Linked DNA regions of Arabidopsis thaliana. The protein of the gene in region 1 purifies or fractionates together with the protein of each later gene. This does not show direct contact. Each region holds a gene or a part of one and is shown on either strand. Other genes may lie near its edges.

Region 1 (4,381 bases):
AATGTTGAAGATGTATTAGAAGTGAATGTGAGTTTGCTTCAGACTCTTCTGCTATTCATAAACTTTCTTAACACTTACAACTTTGATTCTCTCATTAACATTGATTGTGCTAGAACTTGTAAAGTTTAACTCATTTCAGTGTCTTCGATGTTACTCGTTCAGTGATTATACAATAACATGGGAATAGGATTAATCGTAATGGTTTTAACCTTTGGCCAAGTTCAATCTGTATCTGTATCAGTTTGATCTGTTACATTTTAGTGTGTCTGATTTCTTAGGCAATTCTGAGGACAAGAATCACTGTTATCAAGGCATGACATTTAACTGCTTTTTGTATCACATTGGCAGGAGACTGATAGCGTCAAGGAAACTGTTGTAAGTGCGATTGTGCCGGTTGATGAAGTGGAAGAGAATCGTCAGGTAGAAACATCTCCTTCTCTGGCTGCATCGTCAGACTCATTGACAGTGACGCCATGTCTATCTTTGGATCCTGCAACTGCTTCAACCGCACAAGATTTACCACTGGTTTCAGTTCCAACTAAACAAGAGCAAAGATCAGATTCGCCGGTGGTTAACAGATTGTCGGTTACTCCTGTTCCTAGGACACCGGCTCGTGATGGTTATAATTGGAGAAAATATGGACAGAAGCAGGTTAAGAGTCCCAAGGGCTCACGGAGTTACTACAGGTGTACATACACTGAATGTTGTGCTAAAAAAATTGAATGCTCCAATGATTCAGGCAATGTGGTAGAGATTGTTAACAAAGGTTTACATACTCATGAACCTCCCCGGAAGACTAGCTTCTCCCCGAGAGAGATTAGAGTTACAACAGCTATCCGGCCTGTTTCAGAGGATGATACAGTAGTAGAAGAGCTATCAATTGTTCCTAGCGGTTCAGATCCGTCTGCTTCTACTAAAGAATACATCTGTGAGTCGCAAACACTCGTTGACCGGAAAAGACACTGTGAGAACGAAGCTGTGGAGGAACCAGAGCCAAAACGAAGGCAAGTTTGTAGAATTTTGCATTTCGGTGCTTACTCTTCACTTTGAAAGATGAAATTAATAGACTTTCTTCTCTCTATTTTTCAGACTGAAAAAAGATAACTCACAGAGTTCAGATTCTGTCTCCAAACCTGGAAAGAAAAACAAATTCGTAGTACACGCAGCTGGTGATGTTGGTATCTGTGGTGATGGATACAGGTGGCGTAAATACGGGCAGAAAATGGTGAAAGGAAATCCTCATCCAAGGTCTAGAAAACTAAACGCATGACCCATCTCTTTATCCACATATGACATCTTCTAATACGCATGGTGATTGATTTGTTCTGTTTCAAACATTCAGGAACTACTACCGATGCACTTCAGCGGGATGTCCAGTTCGTAAACACATTGAGACAGCAGTCGAGAACACAAAAGCAGTAATAATCACATACAAAGGAGTACACAACCACGACATGCCGGTGCCTAAGAAACGCCATGGTCCTCCAAGCTCAATGCTCGTAGCTGCAGCCGCTCCAACATCAATGAGAACCAGGACAGACGATCAGGTGAACATTCCGACTTCAAGCCAGTGCTCGGTGGGGCGAGAAAGTGAGAAGCAGAGTAAAGAAGCATTGGACGTTGGTGGAGAGAAAGTGATGGAATCAGCTAGGACTTTGTTGAGCATTGGATTCGAAATCAAGCAATGCTGATTATATGTAGTTTATGAGTTTTATAGAGTTCATCGACTCAATTTTCGCCTCCTTGTTCTTGTTATATAATAATAATAAAAAACCCCATGAAGATTACCAACTAAATACGTTAACATTCGTCTGTGTAATGATGGTATATGTTTATTGTGATATTAAATCGCTAATTTTAGTGAATAGCCTCTGGTTCGTCTAGAGGGTCTTCTGAAACTTGAAAGGGACTAAAAGACGAGAACAAAAACCCTTTCTCTCTACTCTGTGTAAACCCTAGTGTGTTCGTGCTCTCCGATGGCGAGTCTTCGATGCTTTCGTGAGCTGAGCCGCCGCGCTACGACTGTTTTCTCCATCAACCAGACGCGATCGATCTCTTCATTTCATGGGATTGAGTTTTCCGGGACCAGCATTTCTCATGGGACCGTAATTCCGAATCGATCTCTCACTAGGAATTTGCCATGGTACAGTCATTGGTATCGCTCTCAAGATCGTTGTTTCTCTTCGAACACAAAGGATACTGATGAAGATGAAGAAAGCAGTGAAGGAGAGGATGATGATGAGGAGGAGGGGGAAGACTTTGAGGATTCGGCGGATATGGAAGTAGAAAGGGAATATTCACCGGCGGAGAAAGTGGAAGAGGCGGAGGAGATAGGGTACAAGGTGATGGGTCCTCTTAAACCTTCGGAGAGACTTTTCAAACCCTATGAACCAGTGTTTGCCATTGTTCAGGTCTCGTCTCTGTGCTATCTCAATTAATCCTTTAGTTTCATTTCTCACTCTCACTGATGCTGAGTGGTTATTTTTATCCTGTAGATTGGTTCGCATCAGTTTAAAGTTAGCAATGGGGACTCCATTTTCACCGAGAAGTTGAAATTCTGTGACATCAATGATAAGGTATGCTAGCTTCAAGCTCTTCTTCGTTAATCTTTGCTATTCTTCTCTCAAAGGGCTAGACTTTACCGTATCTCTCGTAAGAAGGACGAACCTTTGCATTTGTGTTTATGATTTATGATTGTTGCTAAAACCTTTCTCTTTATGTCCCTTTGCAGTTGGAACTAACCAAGGTTCTTCTATTGGGCTCGGCAAGCCAGACGATTATTGGTAGGCCTATTTTGCCAGATGCGACAGTTCATGCTGTAGTTGAAGAGCATGTAAGTGTCTCATTGACTTGCTTGGTGTTTTATAATACTAGTGAAGCTGTGCTTAAGAATAATTTACAATTGAAAAGAGGATAGATGAGAGTTTGCTTGCTGAATCCGGTGACTGAGAGAAACTAAATCAAACTGTCTGCTGATTAGTTTGTGAAAGTCTTGCAAGTCATTAGATTAGTGTTCATCTATCTCTACATCATCTGAATGTCTTGATTTAAGATGGGCTTGGAATGTAGAAGGATCTACTCATGTACCAGCATTACTCAACTAGTTTTTCCTTGATGCGTGACAGGCTTTGGATGAAAAAGTGCTCATTTTCAAAAAGAAACGAAGAAAGAATTATAGGAGAACGAGAGGACATCGACAGGTATACTTTATAACTCCTTGTTTAGATAGACAGTGTGTTTATTTCATCTTTGCCTTCTTCTAGTTCTTTCCACTGTGTTATGATTGTTGTTTTTGACCATTCAACACTTGTGTCCAGGAATTGACGAAGTTGAGAATAACCGATATACAAGGAATTGAAAAACCAGAACCGAAGATCGTCCATAAGCCTTCGAAAGAAGCTGTTACAGAACAGACGAAGGCTGAGCTAGTTGCTTAGAGATAAAATTTGCTTCTTTCTTTTTTGCTGATGCCGATACATTTGAAGTAAGTTAAATTATCACTTGCTGTTCACTAAGAACTAGATTTTAAAGTCGTTGAAATGATGAAAAGGCCTTCTTGGTAGTTAGTGGTAAGTAACTAGGCTCCTGAGATATGAAATGTGATTTGCCTTTCACTGTCTTGTTCTCCTTGCTCTTCATTTTGTATTTAAACTGGCTCATGCTTGTGGGAGCTGTTTGTTGCTTCTGTTTCAGAAATAAAGATTTGCGGAAACATCTCTCTCCTTATCTTCTCTATGCTTTGTACTTTGTACTGTACTACTGTGGTTTGGTTATGGTTTAATTTACTTCTTCATGCAAGTCTCGGTCACAGATATGAAACTGGTGGTAAATTGGTAATAACTGCAAGTCACATTACACTCAAAATCTCGATTTTTTCCACTATGACTCTTTAGATCAGGTGATTATTATTGTAACTATATATGGCAACCACTTCCTCATCAACAAATGATTCACAGAATTGATAGTACTTGGAACTGATTTATAATTTCTTTTATCAACATCGGAAAATCGTGTAAGAATGCCTTGAAATATTTGAATGTTTGTAAATAGTATCAAAACCATTGTTTGTATAAATATGTATAAAGAACTTAAACAAAAGCAATTTGGAGCCAAAGAGAATTATAAAGCTACACGAGTACGTAAGTCCATGGTTAAGATCGGGTCGGGTGGGGACGGGTTGGATAAAAGCAAACAATGAGTCAAGTAAAAGAAGAATCATCGTCAACAAGAGAGAGAGAGAGATAAGCACAAACGCGGCTTTTCTTCTCCTTATAAATAAGAGAAGCTCAGTGCGTTACTCAAATGGCCGTCACTTTGGTAACGTCCTTCGCTTCTTCGTCTTCTCGCTTCCATTTCCGCTCATTCTCCTCTTCTCCGTCGT
Region 2 (3,686 bases), on another chromosome or scaffold:
ACTTTGAAATTCGCTTTTAATAGGTTTTGAGAAGCAGGTATAGAATCATCTTGAAAGAATAACAAATAACAACCAAAATGGTTGCATCTCATCGATTACTTACGTTGATGGTGTTTGCTCTCCTCACCATACCTATGATTTCTGGTAACACATTTATTTGTTATACAAATTATATATTTTTTTTAAAAAAATTGTTCTTAAAAAACTACAGTTTTCAATATTAAACTGACCATTTTTGCTTATAAATTTTTTGTTGATGAATTTTTTATTTATAAAATCGTATAGGACTAATTTCAGATAAATGTACGGAAGGATGTAAAAGCACAATAGGATGCAATACAAGATGCATGATGAGAGGCGGAGGGTATTGTGAAAGCGCTAAAATTCACGGGGCTGTTAAAATATTTTGTTGCTGCAACAATTATTCTAATTCTCCCATCTCCAGTCCGGTCATCAATTGATTGATCTCTTATTCTATATGTACTCTCGATCATAAGATATTATTAAAAACATATATTTATATAATGATAATTGATATAATCTCATCCTGATCCAACCCCCAATCTCTCTCATCAAAATGTTTATAAGAATTCAATACATGTACACAATAAAATCCACAAGAAAAACGACAGCGGTTCGACTTATAGTTAATGTCATTAGGACATCGATTTTGTCAAATCGATCATGTAAAGTTATGTATGAAACTGTAGAATATGAAATAGAAATCTTCGTATATTGGATTTAACTACAAAGGAAATTGCATGACGTCGTGACTAACCCTGGGAAACATGTCATCTTTTGGCTACGACGGCGCATCACACACACGTGGCATCATAATCATAACCTCCGTTGATGAGACATCAAAAGTCTCAATTAACTGCTATAGGAAAATTCATCTATGGTACTTGATCTAATCTAAGCTGCAAAAATAAGAGACCTCCGAAGAAAAAATGTTGAGAAATTATGTGAACCCAAAATCAATCTCCAAGCCTAATATAACAACATCATGTATTTACTCTTTTTATCTCAAGGTATATATTCTGATATTCCTACGTTTTCATGAAATAGATTAACTATATATATATACAAAGATTTTTGGAGATGTTTTCTTAATATGTAGAGAGGAAGTGCGAGTGGAGGGAGGGAAGAAGGAAGAGCTTCTTCGACGGCGGAGGAGTTCACAAGACAAGGTGTTGCTAGCCAAACAGTTGAGAAGGCTTTTGACGGAGCTGCGGTGGCGGTAAACGTCTCCGGTGATTCTGAGGCGGATGTGGAGAAGGTGAAAGAGGCGTTTTTAGATAAGAAAGACTATAATTATAAGAAGAGACCTGAGGATGATGATGATGGTTTGCCTATCAACACGGCTAAAGGAATATAACGTATGTGCATTTGTTAGATATCACTTGTAAAGTAGTAGTATGTAATAATATGCATCATGTATCATGTATGTAATATTATAGGCTTCATGTACTTTGTATAATAAATCGAGTAATGGATAGAAGAACGGTTGCCCTTTTTCTCTCTTTTTCTTGTCTACCAATATTTGTAAGTTTACCGATTTCTTTTAGTTATGTAATTTAGCTACTACTTTTGTATAAATATAATTTACTTTGATAATTTTCTCTTTTTAATAATGCATCATTACTCATTAGTAATAATATTGATCAACCCCAAGATTTAAAGCTATTGAACTTATAGAAGGTAGAAAAACCTTAAATAATACACCTACCTAGCAAATAGCTTTTACCAATTTAGAGGTTAGAACTAGTGATGAGAGCAGTGGAATTTGACTGTTCATCATACACTTTCTGAAATAAATTGTTTTTGCAAGATTAATAAATCTAAAGATTGATGTAAAAAAAATGAAACCAATCTAGTAATTTTTGAACAAATTATAAAAAGGTAAAGGAGCCAATAATTGGGCCCAGATAAAGCCCAAATAATTAAGCTAATCTACAAAACGCTGTCGTTTAACCATTGTTCCGCTAAAAGCTTAAAACCCTTAAACGCGAATCTCAAAGATTTTCCGAGCTCTGTTCGCCGTCTTGACTACACTCGTCGACGATCTCTTTCACCGGACTTCTCCCGTCTCTGTTTCCTCAAGGTACTCGAAAACCATCCATTTCTATCTCAAACACCTAATTGAAATCTCGCGTTATGCAGCTCCTCTTTTCTTCTGAATTGATCGATCTGATTTGGTTTCAATTCGTGATGATTCACTCTCTCATGATTCATGTTATCAATCGTCTTCGTTTATTGTATCTATTGATTTCTACGGTGAATTCTGTGTGATTGCTTGATTATGATTTTGTTAATGGTTACAGAGAGATTGAGTGATAAAGGAGACAAAAAAAAAAAAGAATGAGTGGTTTTAGAGCTTTCAAAGCACAAGTGCCTATTGAATGGAGCCAGAGCTTGTACATAACCTTAGTAAGAGGTCTCCCTGGAACAAGGAAGCTTCACAGACGAACACTTGAAGCTATGGGACTTCGTAGATGTCATCGTACTGTTTTGCATTCAAACAATTCATCCATTAGGGGAATGATTGATCAGGTTCTCTTCCTTTATCTTTTTATCTATTCTCATTTGTCATAAAATCCTAGATTTCAAAATTGTGATGGTTGGTTTTGCCTCTATGTAGGTTAAAAGGATGGTTGTTGTTGAAACAGAAGAAATGTACAATGCTCGTAAAGAAGCAGAAGCCAACCACAAAGCTTTGCGCCCGCCTCTCGTTGTCAGTCATTCGAGTCCTGCAACAGATTCATCCAACATGTCTTGAGAGTACTTTCATAAGATGGTAAGCTCTTCTACCGTCAGTTCGATAAGATCCGCTTGGATATTGTAGGCGGCTTATGTTTAAGTTCTCTCTAAAGGTGTCCAGGAAGTAAACTAGTCCTAGACGCTTGATAAGAAATGTTGGTATCAGTGTGTTTGGTGCCTCTTTATGTTTTTTGTATACACTGGATACTTGTGTATGTTTTGCTCTCATTCTGTCAATCTCAAATCTATCGGTTTTTTTTTTTTTTTGTGGCCAATGTTTCAAGATTGAGAATGTGAAAGTTGATTCTCAAAAAAGTTACCTTTCAATTTGATTAATGAAAGTAGTGAGAGAAAGATAGATGCTGAAATAATCATAACTTAATATATATGTTACAGATGAAGAACCAAAATGTATGATGACAATTGTAATGTATCAAAGAATTGAAATTTGAAATACAAAACCTATACTATGCAAACTACAAATTCTACAATGCATCAGTCATTCATCACTGAGGAACGTCTGTTGGTGTGACCCAAAACATCTGACAATTCCAAGATCTTGGCTGGTAAATTTTCATGATTTGCTTACTCTCCCATTCAAAAACGCTCAGATTCTGAGGCCCTGATCCTCCTACACTTGGATCATCACCATCAATGAAATAAACTGAGTTGTCTTTGAAAAATCCTCTCTCACCTGCTAAAACAGCTATACATCTACCTTGAGGGCTCAAGAACAAAGCTTTTCCTCTCAAGCTCATCACCTTTGTCCATTCGTTAGTCTCGCGATTGAATTCGTAAATCTCGAAAGAGGTTTCGAAATCACAATCGTCGTTAAGCTCCAGCTTCTTTAGGACCACCCACAGTTCGTCGTAATCCGACTCTGCCAAGTATTTCTTGCAAGAGTCGTACCGAAACGGCGAGGTGCT

What was found.
Region 2: the proteins of NFD1 (region 1) and AT5G55140 fractionate together in Arabidopsis thaliana (co-fractionation; one large-scale study listed by BioGRID). This does not show direct contact.

Annotation. Positions count from the first base shown.
Region 1 is NC_003075.7:15,049,226-15,053,606, reverse strand, and holds NFD1 (Ribosomal protein L21), read left to right. Parts: upstream 1-1,855; 5' UTR 1,856-1,976; coding exon 1,977-2,411; intron 2,412-2,495; coding exon 2,496-2,576; intron 2,577-2,731; coding exon 2,732-2,833; intron 2,834-3,125; coding exon 3,126-3,200; intron 3,201-3,317; coding exon 3,318-3,437; 3' UTR 3,438-3,796; downstream 3,797-4,381. Other genes in the region: WRKY32 (WRKY DNA-binding protein 32), read left to right, coding at 1-27, 349-1,004, 1,090-1,248, 1,343-1,691; LAP2 (Cytosol aminopeptidase family protein), read left to right, coding at 4,303-4,381. UniProt on the Arabidopsis thaliana protein: This protein binds to 23S ribosomal RNA in the presence of protein L20.
Region 2 is NC_003076.8:22,379,009-22,382,694, forward strand, and holds AT5G55140 (ribosomal protein L30 family protein), read left to right. Parts: upstream 1-1,987; 5' UTR 1,988-2,104; intron 2,105-2,324; 5' UTR 2,325-2,361; coding exon 2,362-2,553; intron 2,554-2,641; coding exon 2,642-2,779; 3' UTR 2,780-3,186; downstream 3,187-3,686. Other genes in the region: AT5G55132 (Defensin-like (DEFL) family protein), read left to right, coding at 78-144, 286-461; AT5G55135 (uncharacterized protein), read left to right, coding at 951-1,031, 1,121-1,378; AT5G55150 (F-box SKIP23-like protein (DUF295)), read right to left, coding at 3,267-3,686.